2 linked regions of the Caenorhabditis elegans genome follow. The protein of the gene in region 2 interacts with the protein of the main gene of each other region in a pairwise test. Each region holds a gene or a part of one and is shown on either strand. Other genes may lie near its edges. The genes, in order: gakh-1 and rps-24.

Region 1 (5,865 bases), on a different chromosome or scaffold from region 2:
TGAACAGTGACTCTTCAAGGCTACATCCCATATCATCAATAATAGGGTATGGCTGGAAACCTGGCTCATCCGAGCTCAATGTGCAATTTACAACTTGGAGGCAATTTCCAGTTATTGGCTTACACTTTATTTTATAGTAAATCTCGTCGTCAAGAGATGCTCCTGAAATTTTTGAACTTTTTGAAACAATAACAGAGGCTGTTTGACAGACATTGTATATGTTTGTAGTTTTTTACAAACTTCTTTTTTTTTTAAATTCAAATTTGTTATTTTCTGAAACTTTTTTCAAACACCAGAACTAAAGCATACCTGAAACAACTTGTCCATAAGGTCCCTTTTTGTGAATCGAAAAGTCGCACGTTATACTATTATCAACAGTTTTCGACAACAAGTTCGGTTTTTGTTTTGACTTATAGATGGATAGCGTGGGCGCTAGAACGCTAAGAAAAAGTATGAATACGAGAAGTTGGTTGGACATTTGTATGCTGGATCGATTCATTCCATTCTGGAGATACCCCGATACAAGTAGGTCATTGCGTTCGGAACAATGTGTTCTTCTTGATTTATTACTTTTCGTAGACGATAAAACATTTGAATTTTTTGATGTACAAGTTAAGAAGTAAGCATAATTTAGGATACATTTTATTTACAGAGAAACAAAAAAATGAAGGAATGAGGATGGATTTTTTTCTGAAAGATTTATAAAATGAGTATTGAAGAGAAGAAGATACTCGTTATAAGTACATTTCCATCTTTCAATTATTGGCAAAATTCGTACAAAACATTCACAGGACGGGAAAGAAAGTGAAAATATGATAAATAACTATAATTTTTGAACTACTTTACTATTTTAATCTATTTCTTGGTTGACATTTTCATCATATCGCTGACCATATCATCCAGGCTGGCAGAAGAGGATGACGAACCAATTCCGTTTTTTGAAACATCGACTTTGGTCAAGTTCTTGTTCTCCACTTGGCGTATTGGTTGTAAAACTGAAAAAGGAAAAAGGAAATGAGATTTGAAAAGAGGATATCATTTGGTTTGGGCTGATTCCTTTGATGAATCATTTAGTGATTCATGAAGAGGAGGTTGTAACAAAATGAATACATAGCAAATGATAACTGCGTAGAGGAACAAACCGTACCAGCTTGAGAAGATTCGGCGGAAGGTGTCGTGTGTCGGAGCATCAGGTCGTCAAAGTCAAACAAGTCTCGTGAAGATTGGGATCGTACCTCTGGTTTGTGCTCAGCTGAAGACAAATTATTTTTAACATAGGGAAATATATTGGAAATTATTCGTAGCTGCTCAAAAACATATAATGTTGTCAGACACTTGCAAAATTTTCACAGAAAAGCTTTCAATATATTCAGAATGTTTGGGAGAAAGTTTCCAAGTTTTGACAGGAAGTAGCCTTATTGCCTTCATCTAAGCACCGTACAAATCATCAAAAATTTTAATCTGGTTTGAAGGTCCCCTTTTAAATGACATAGGATTCGTTTGGAATTCAATTGCTGTTCAATTGCTTTCCGCAGTTTTCAGTGTCCTAAATCTTACCAGTTCCTGGCCAATTCTGTAAGGATAACAGATCTTCGCTATGTTTTGCAGACAAATTGTGTGATGCTGACTCGCTAAACGGATCGAATACGTCTTTTTTCGAAACATTCACCGCTGGCGGTGCTTGACTAAAGTCTCCCCAATCGTTTGCAGAATCATTCTGAGAACTATCAGTCGGCCATGAAACTTTGAATGTTGCAACTGGGGCTGCACGAGGGCTTGCTGTTGTGGGTGGTCTCGGTGGTGCGTTTTCTGAAAATATACTGGCATTAGAGAAGTTTCAATCAATTCATTCACTCACTCTCTTGCTGTTGATTTGATCTATGTGTTTTTGGCACAAGCTTCGGAGATGTTGAAGGGTGCCCGGGGCGTGGTGTAGTATTTGTTGGCTCCATTCCCCATCCCATTTTATTCGTCTGCTGTACAACTGTATTTTTGAGTGATGTCAAATTGGAAAATAGTTTGTCCTGCATTGTAAAGAATCCTTTTGCAGCTTGCGATTCGATACTTTGCTCCGCTTGTACCGGTTGAACATTCATCAGATCGAGTATATCCGTGAAATCAGTTTTTGCAGCTAGTTTTGGTTGTTTCTGCATTGCTAGTTTCATGTATTCCTCAATTTTTGCAGCAGTAATTCGTTCATCCGGATTGGGTGTCAGACACTTTGCTGTAAGTTGGGTTTATATTTCTTTATTTATTATTTTTACGCCCAGCAGAAAACTCCTTACCAATTAAATCTGCAAACGCTGATAACTGGTTTTGCTGAACCGGTGGTGGCTTCTTGTACTTTCCGTTGATAATTGCCAGCGCTGATCCATCAAATGGATGCTCTCCAAACGCAACAAAATAGATCAAACACCCCATTGCCCAGTTGTCTTGTTGTTTTCCGATAGGCCAATTTGAGTAGACATCACAAACTTCTGGGGATCGGGTGATAGGTGTTGTGTATTTGAACATCTGAAAATTAGATTTCAATTTCATTTAAAATTTATTTCGGAATGACCTCTTCCTGAACCGCTAATCTTTCGGAATTTGATAGTGGTGCCATCTCGATGGACTTTGTTGTAGCACTTCCAAAATCGCATAGTTTTAGTTTTCCTGAAAAATAGTTTTAGCTAAAATCAGCAACGAAAGACCAACCATTTCCGTTTATAAGCAAATTTTCTGCTTTGATATCTCGGTGGATGGCGCCGACGGAATGCAAATATACTAGGGCTCTTGTTGTAAAGTAGATTATGCGAACGACAAAGTCAATTGAGACTTCTTTGTACTTGAGAAGCACATCCGCAATTGAAACTGAAATAAAATTTAGTTATATACATTAAATTGTATGTACATTAAAGGTGGAGTACCATAATCGGAGACTTTGCTTTTTTAGACCCAAAATGGCCCAAAACTATCCAGTTTTGTAATGAGACATTCTGAAAATTGAAAAAAAACTGACTGAAAAACATCTCAATCAACGAATCAACAAGTAATAAATTAGTAATAACAAATTACACAAAATTCGGTAGGTTTGGGCCATTTTGCGTCTTTTTTCAGACAAAATCGCCGATTTCTTTCGGTACTCCACTTTAACAATATACTTTTTGAGAGTGAGTTTGCAACAAAAAAAATTCAACCCACATTTGCAATATTCCATTGATATTTTGTACTCTTTCACGGACCGATTTGAACTTCTGCTTTCAGCTGACGCATCAAACAGTTGAATAATATTTTCGTGTTGGAGCTTCTTCATCATATCAATTTCATTATCAATATCCTTCGTCGCGGCTGCATCGTGGCTCAGCATGATCTTCACGGCGACTTGTTTTCCCTTGGTGTTGGTCGCAAGAAACACCGTTCCAAAACCGCCTGCAAAACATAAGCTCTCTTCGAAAATTGTCATTTATGGCCACTAACCTTTGGCTATTACCTTTTCCACTCGATAATTGTTTCCGTTAATGCTGAATGTCTGACCACGATCGTAGAGCTCACTCTGCTCACTGATTCCTGCGCCTCGACCGACAGATTGAATCACACCAAGAGCGCGGGCAAATGCCATCTTGGAAATTGCAGATTTATAGTAGAATGAGTGCATTAAAAATAATAAAATGTGATAGTTTTATGAGCGGTGCATCAATATGAAAAAGGAAAAAAATATATGAAAAAGTATAAGACCAGGGATAAAAATGTACAATTTACAATTTAATTCAAAGGTCTCAGGTGGTATCTATAACATAATTTTTTTCAAAATTAAGAATTGGACTTATGAAGAACATTCTTTTCTCAATTTACATATCTTGCTTCTCAAAAATTATTCTAAATTTGCAAATGATGTTTTTACACGTTTCAATCAATAAGAAATACGCTTAAGCCTTCCTATCTTTAAAGCTTCATCTGCATAGAATATAAAGTACACATTTCCATTAGCGCAAGACTAACGGCAAGAAATTCACATTATTTGTCAGGAATAGGATAGATTCCATCTCGCATCTACTGAAATGTACTCTCGTGGTCGAAAAATCCTGAGAGAAGCGGAGTATTTGGGCAGCAGCAGCGAAAGTGGGGTGTCGGTTGGCAACGGAGGATGTGTTGTTGGCAAAATTGAGCTAATTTGCTTGGAGCGAGTTTGAAGAAAGCCAATAATTTAAATGATCATTGATCAAAAATAATTGATGTTAAAAAAAAAGTAGAAACTAACACAATGTTCTTCAATTTTAAATAGAAAAGTTCATATCACATCTATTGCTTTTTTAATCGTTGCGAAAATTTTCAATGTTTTGTTGAACAAGACAATTAAAACTTTCTTTTATAAGAAAACGGGTTAAAGGTTTCATTTAATTTTTACAGCAAACTGAAAATTTTTTGCAATGACAAAAAACGATTTTTTTCAGTGCAAAACTTATTGTTTGTCAGTGCAGCATTTATTGCAAGACTGTGAATGTTAGTGTACTGATTTCTGTTTAAAAATAAATTCACGTTGTAATAAATTAGGAAAATCAATGAAAAAACGCAAATGTTGCATACAATGCGCCCTTTTTTGGTGTGGGGGAACGCACACGAAACGCGCCAAGTGGTGGCTGCTGACGCATTTGCTACCTCACAACATGTAACAACGTGGAACCAGTTGCAGCTCTCGTAAAAACAAACATCTTTTGTGATTTTTCGCTCAACCAGTTTTACCGAAAACTTTATGTAACATTACTTTTATCTTTTTTTGCGTTTTTTCTGTAGTCTTTCGATTATCTTCAACTTCTAATGTATTTTAAATCATAATTCATTCATAAAAATGGTTGAATTCAATGGCACCTACTTGGCAGGTGGTGATACTCGGGAGCGGTGATATACTCTCTTTCTCCTTCCTTTTCGAGAGTGTCATTTCTATTTTCAAACCACAACCACCACATCAGCTCGCGTGCGGCTGCGACGCGGTCTCTCTACATTTCGTGTGCCTCCTCTTCCTCCATTTGCCCCTTTCGGTTCAGTTCCCCTTCTTTTCTCGTCGCTTATGTTTTCGTTTTCATTTGTCCGGAGAAAACCTGTTTAGGAAAGAGTCGTTCACATAAACGCCCGTCACTTATGCCCGTTGACATCCAAACTCTTACTTTTGAACCGCTTTTTTCAACCAGTTTAAGGTTTTTTCCCTAGCTTAGTTTTTACACAACTGTAGCGGAAGTGATAAAGAATAATTTCCATTCTCTATTGTACATTACTCATTTACCCAATGACTTCGCTGTACTATTTCCGCAAGTTCAGTATCAATTCTGTGTATACGATGACGTGACGCGGTGTATTCATTGCCAGTGTATTCAGCGAAAGCTGACGTCTTTTTGTCAAACTTTAAAAACAAAATAGATAACCCAACGTTTGCTCAAAATACACTTAAAACCCAGCTTTAAAACGTGTATCATTAAAGATTTAAAAATTTTCAATTCCGTTCCAAATATCCACCATTCATCGGCGCGGCCATCTGTTGGCCAGTTTGATAAACAAAAAGTCGTGACCGCCTTGTGTGTTGACATTGTGCAGCTTTGACGGTTTTCCTCCTACCTGGAGAGATGTTATGTTTGGCGACGATTGTTCTCATTTTAATTTCCATTTTTCATATGTCATCCGATTTTTTGTGTGTGTACTTGTTGTTAAATACGTCATCCGCGGTGGCTCATTGGAAATTCAGAAAACCCAGAAAATGGGAAATTTACGTAGGCTGCTTGCGCCAACAAAGGCAATAAATGTCTTCTCTACTACTCTCGATATTTGATAGCATCTAGACTAGTTAGCTCTTCGTTCATTAAATTAATGCGCCACTGCCATAGTATTTACAAC
Region 2 (3,069 bases):
ATGGGGTATTCAAGTAGTTCGAGACATCAAAGTGGTGAAAATTCACAAAAATTGTCGTAGCATGAGAACAACTATGATAAAAGAACTGGAAAAATGTCGGAAATATTGAATACATGTTTTTGAAGTTACTTGAATAATGCAGTGTACTCCTTAATTTCACGACACCACTTGAATTGCAGTTCCTCTTCAAAAATGAAACTTACGGAGCTGTGCTCTGGCTGATACTTATTGGCGAAGTCAAACGTGTCGTAAACAAGAGTGAACCCCCTTCGACTTTCCTCCTCCGATCTATGACTCGAATCCAAATGGAATGACAGTGTCTGAAGTGGTCTTATAGAGCTTGGTGATCTCCTTACGGATATCAGCCTTTGGGACAGTTGGACGTCCTGGGCGGATAACCTCGACGACCTGAAGTGAAATAGCATAAACCATTAAAAAAGGAATAAGACAACCGCATGGAAATGAAATATGAGAGGAATACCAACTCAAGTACAACAATAAAAAACGAAAACAATTCTGTAGTAAAATCGTTTACTGAAGTTAACAATAGAAATCAACAAAAAGTTTTGCAGATTTACTTCTTTCCAGCAGAGACCTTGGCCTTGGCGGTTCCTCGGACCTTCTTTTGTCTGTTCTTTCTCTCCTTACGTTGCTTGCGTCCTGGCTTCTCGACCTTGGTGGCAAGTCCCATCTGGAAAAGCACGGATTAACGAATGAAAAGAGAACTCTTCAGAAAGGCTGAACGTAGGAATTTGTCTATCAATTTAGACTAAGAAGTCATCTATCAAAAATTCCGTTCTTATTCAGAAAAGTAACTTACGCGAACGAGTCTGTACTTCGGCTCAAACTTCTTGGCGAAGTCAATCGTGTCGTATACGAGAGCGAACCCCTTCGACTTTCCTCCTCCGATCTTGGATTCGAATCCGAATGGGATAACCGTGTCTGGAGTGGTCTTATAAAGCTTGGCGATCTTTTCACGGATATCAGCCTTCGGGACAGTTGGACGCCCTGGGTGGATCACCTCGACAACCTGAAATGAAAAATAGGTTAACCATTCATGTTAAAACGGTAGTGATATCAAAGCAATTCGCAAATCACCAACTTAAAACAAACATTTTACGAACATTTTCGAAATTAAAAACTAACCATCTGCTTTCTGTAGAGAAGCTTATTGGTGAGAACCTTTCTCGTTCTGATAGTAACGACGTCACCCATCGTGATGAATATTACCTGCAAAATAAATTTGAATTGTAGTTTTAAAATTGTCAACAACGAAAATGGAGCGAATTATTTAATTTTGGCCAGAAAATTGAGAAAAATGCTTTAGAAAGACGACAATACTTGTATTTTTAATTTTGAAAACTGTTATGTTGAAAATTTAAAAGATAAACGTGGTTTGGCGTGAAAATTGAAGATAAATTGAAGAAAATCGTCGAAAAAAAGAGAAAATGAGAGAAAAATAGCACAGGCAATGCTTAAGCGTTGGATACTCATTCGACGTCTCGCCACGAAGTCAACGTACGCAGCGAAATAACTGTGTGCGCCTTTAAGTTTTGTGTAGGTTTACGGGTTAAATTGAGGCCCCACGAAAAGGGGAGCAGAACGAAAAGGGGATCTGCAAAAAGGGGATCTGCGAAAAGGGGAGATACGAAAAGGGGAGCTGGCACTGTGCCAAACGCACAAAACGCTTTTTTATTCTCATTCAACGCACGCATTATTTTTGTATTTTACGCTAAACAACGCGCGATGCGTAATAACAGAGTGTGGTTATAACAAGGTCGTGCGTTGAATGAGAATAAAAAAGCGTTTTGTGCGTTTGGCCCAGCTCCCCTTTTCGTTGCTCCCCTTTTCGTATCTCCCCTATTAGTATCTCCCCTTTTCGCAGATCCCTTTTTTGCAGATCCCCTTTTCGTTCTGCTCCCCTTTTCGTGGGGCCTCGTTAAATTATGCATTTAATGCTTTAAAACTTTTTTTTTGTTTATTTACAAACATTGAAAAATCTCATTTTTATTTTGATTTACACTATAAATTTTTTTCCTCATACCTCATCATTTTTAATTTTTAAGCTTTTGAAAATGTCAACGGCATTCTCGTTGTTCTGATTAATTGTATTTATTTTACAGGAAATGCGCATTCCGCCAGAAGTTTCTAAGAAAATTTGGCTGGAGCACCTGATTGTCCGAATAAATGGAATCGATATCACGTTCGCCTCGAATTTTTCTATTGTCATTGGGTCGATGGAACTCCGGAATATCGGTTTGTATTGAATTTTAGAGAAAAATTATTTTAAAATAGCTATTTTTTGTAGTTTGCCCGAGAGATATGTACAGAATAAGAACAGAATCCTTGCAAAGTTTCTACTTCACGAAAACTGAGTTGAAGTCTATGATGAGGGACTTGCGAAGTATTACTTCTGGAATAAAACAACAGATGAGGTGAGTAGCAGAATAATTTCCAGATTTAAAAAAAAATTTTTTCAGGTTTGTTGGTATTCTCCGCGTCATCCACGAGCTATAATTAGTGATCCAGCTCCTCGAATCGCCAGAGAGCATGCTACAGTGCTTTTCGGAGATTCTCACGCATCTGAGGTAGAATTAGATGCTGAAATCGTACTTAAAGGCACACAGATTTATCAGATTTACTCGGATGGGTCTAACCGCCGGAAAAGTTGTTCCCATCCAAAAGGATCCGAGCGCCTTTAAATACTCATTTCGGAACATTTATTCTTTAAAACTATATATTTTTTTTCCAGGAGAACAATGCCGCTCGCCGCAGAAATTTCCACAACAAGAAAACTTCACGCGGAGGGAATGATGATAAGCAATCACGTGGCAATAATGCTGAAAAGCGGAAGCGACGTGATCCGATGACGTCACAGGGTCCAGATTCAGATGAAGACGAGTTACAGGAAATGACAAATAAGGATCGACTGAAAAGAGCAAAAAGGAAAGGAATTGATCCAATGGATCCAGGAGCTCATGGAGGCGCTCCAGTGTAAGCTGCGCTCCGTTTCTGAAGCGAAAAAGTTGGAATTTTCGAGAATTGGATTCAAAAATTGAAAATTTTCTA

What was found.
Region 1: the proteins of rps-24 (region 2) and gakh-1 interact in a two-hybrid assay, tested with the Caenorhabditis elegans proteins (one large-scale study listed by BioGRID).

What each region holds. Positions count from the first base shown.
Region 1 is NC_003284.9:5,781,141-5,787,005, reverse strand, and holds gakh-1 (Protein kinase domain-containing protein), read right to left. Parts: upstream 3,602-5,865; coding exon 3,460-3,601; intron 3,412-3,459; coding exon 3,184-3,411; intron 2,854-3,183; coding exon 2,698-2,853; intron 2,656-2,697; coding exon 2,561-2,655; intron 2,515-2,560; coding exon 2,286-2,514; intron 2,225-2,285; coding exon 1,859-2,224; intron 1,810-1,858; coding exon 1,558-1,809; intron 1,253-1,557; coding exon 1,148-1,252; intron 996-1,147; coding exon 856-995; 3' UTR 551-855; downstream 1-550. Other genes in the region: F46G11.6 (ZP domain-containing protein), read right to left, coding at 1-162, 310-478.
Region 2 is NC_003282.8:384,055-387,123, reverse strand, and holds rps-24 (Small ribosomal subunit protein eS24), read right to left. Parts: upstream 1,231-3,069; 5' UTR 1,216-1,230; coding exon 1,147-1,215; intron 1,031-1,146; coding exon 821-1,030; intron 692-820; coding exon 575-691; 3' UTR 518-574; downstream 1-517. Other genes in the region: T07A9.14 (Small ribosomal subunit protein eS24), read right to left, coding at 204-425.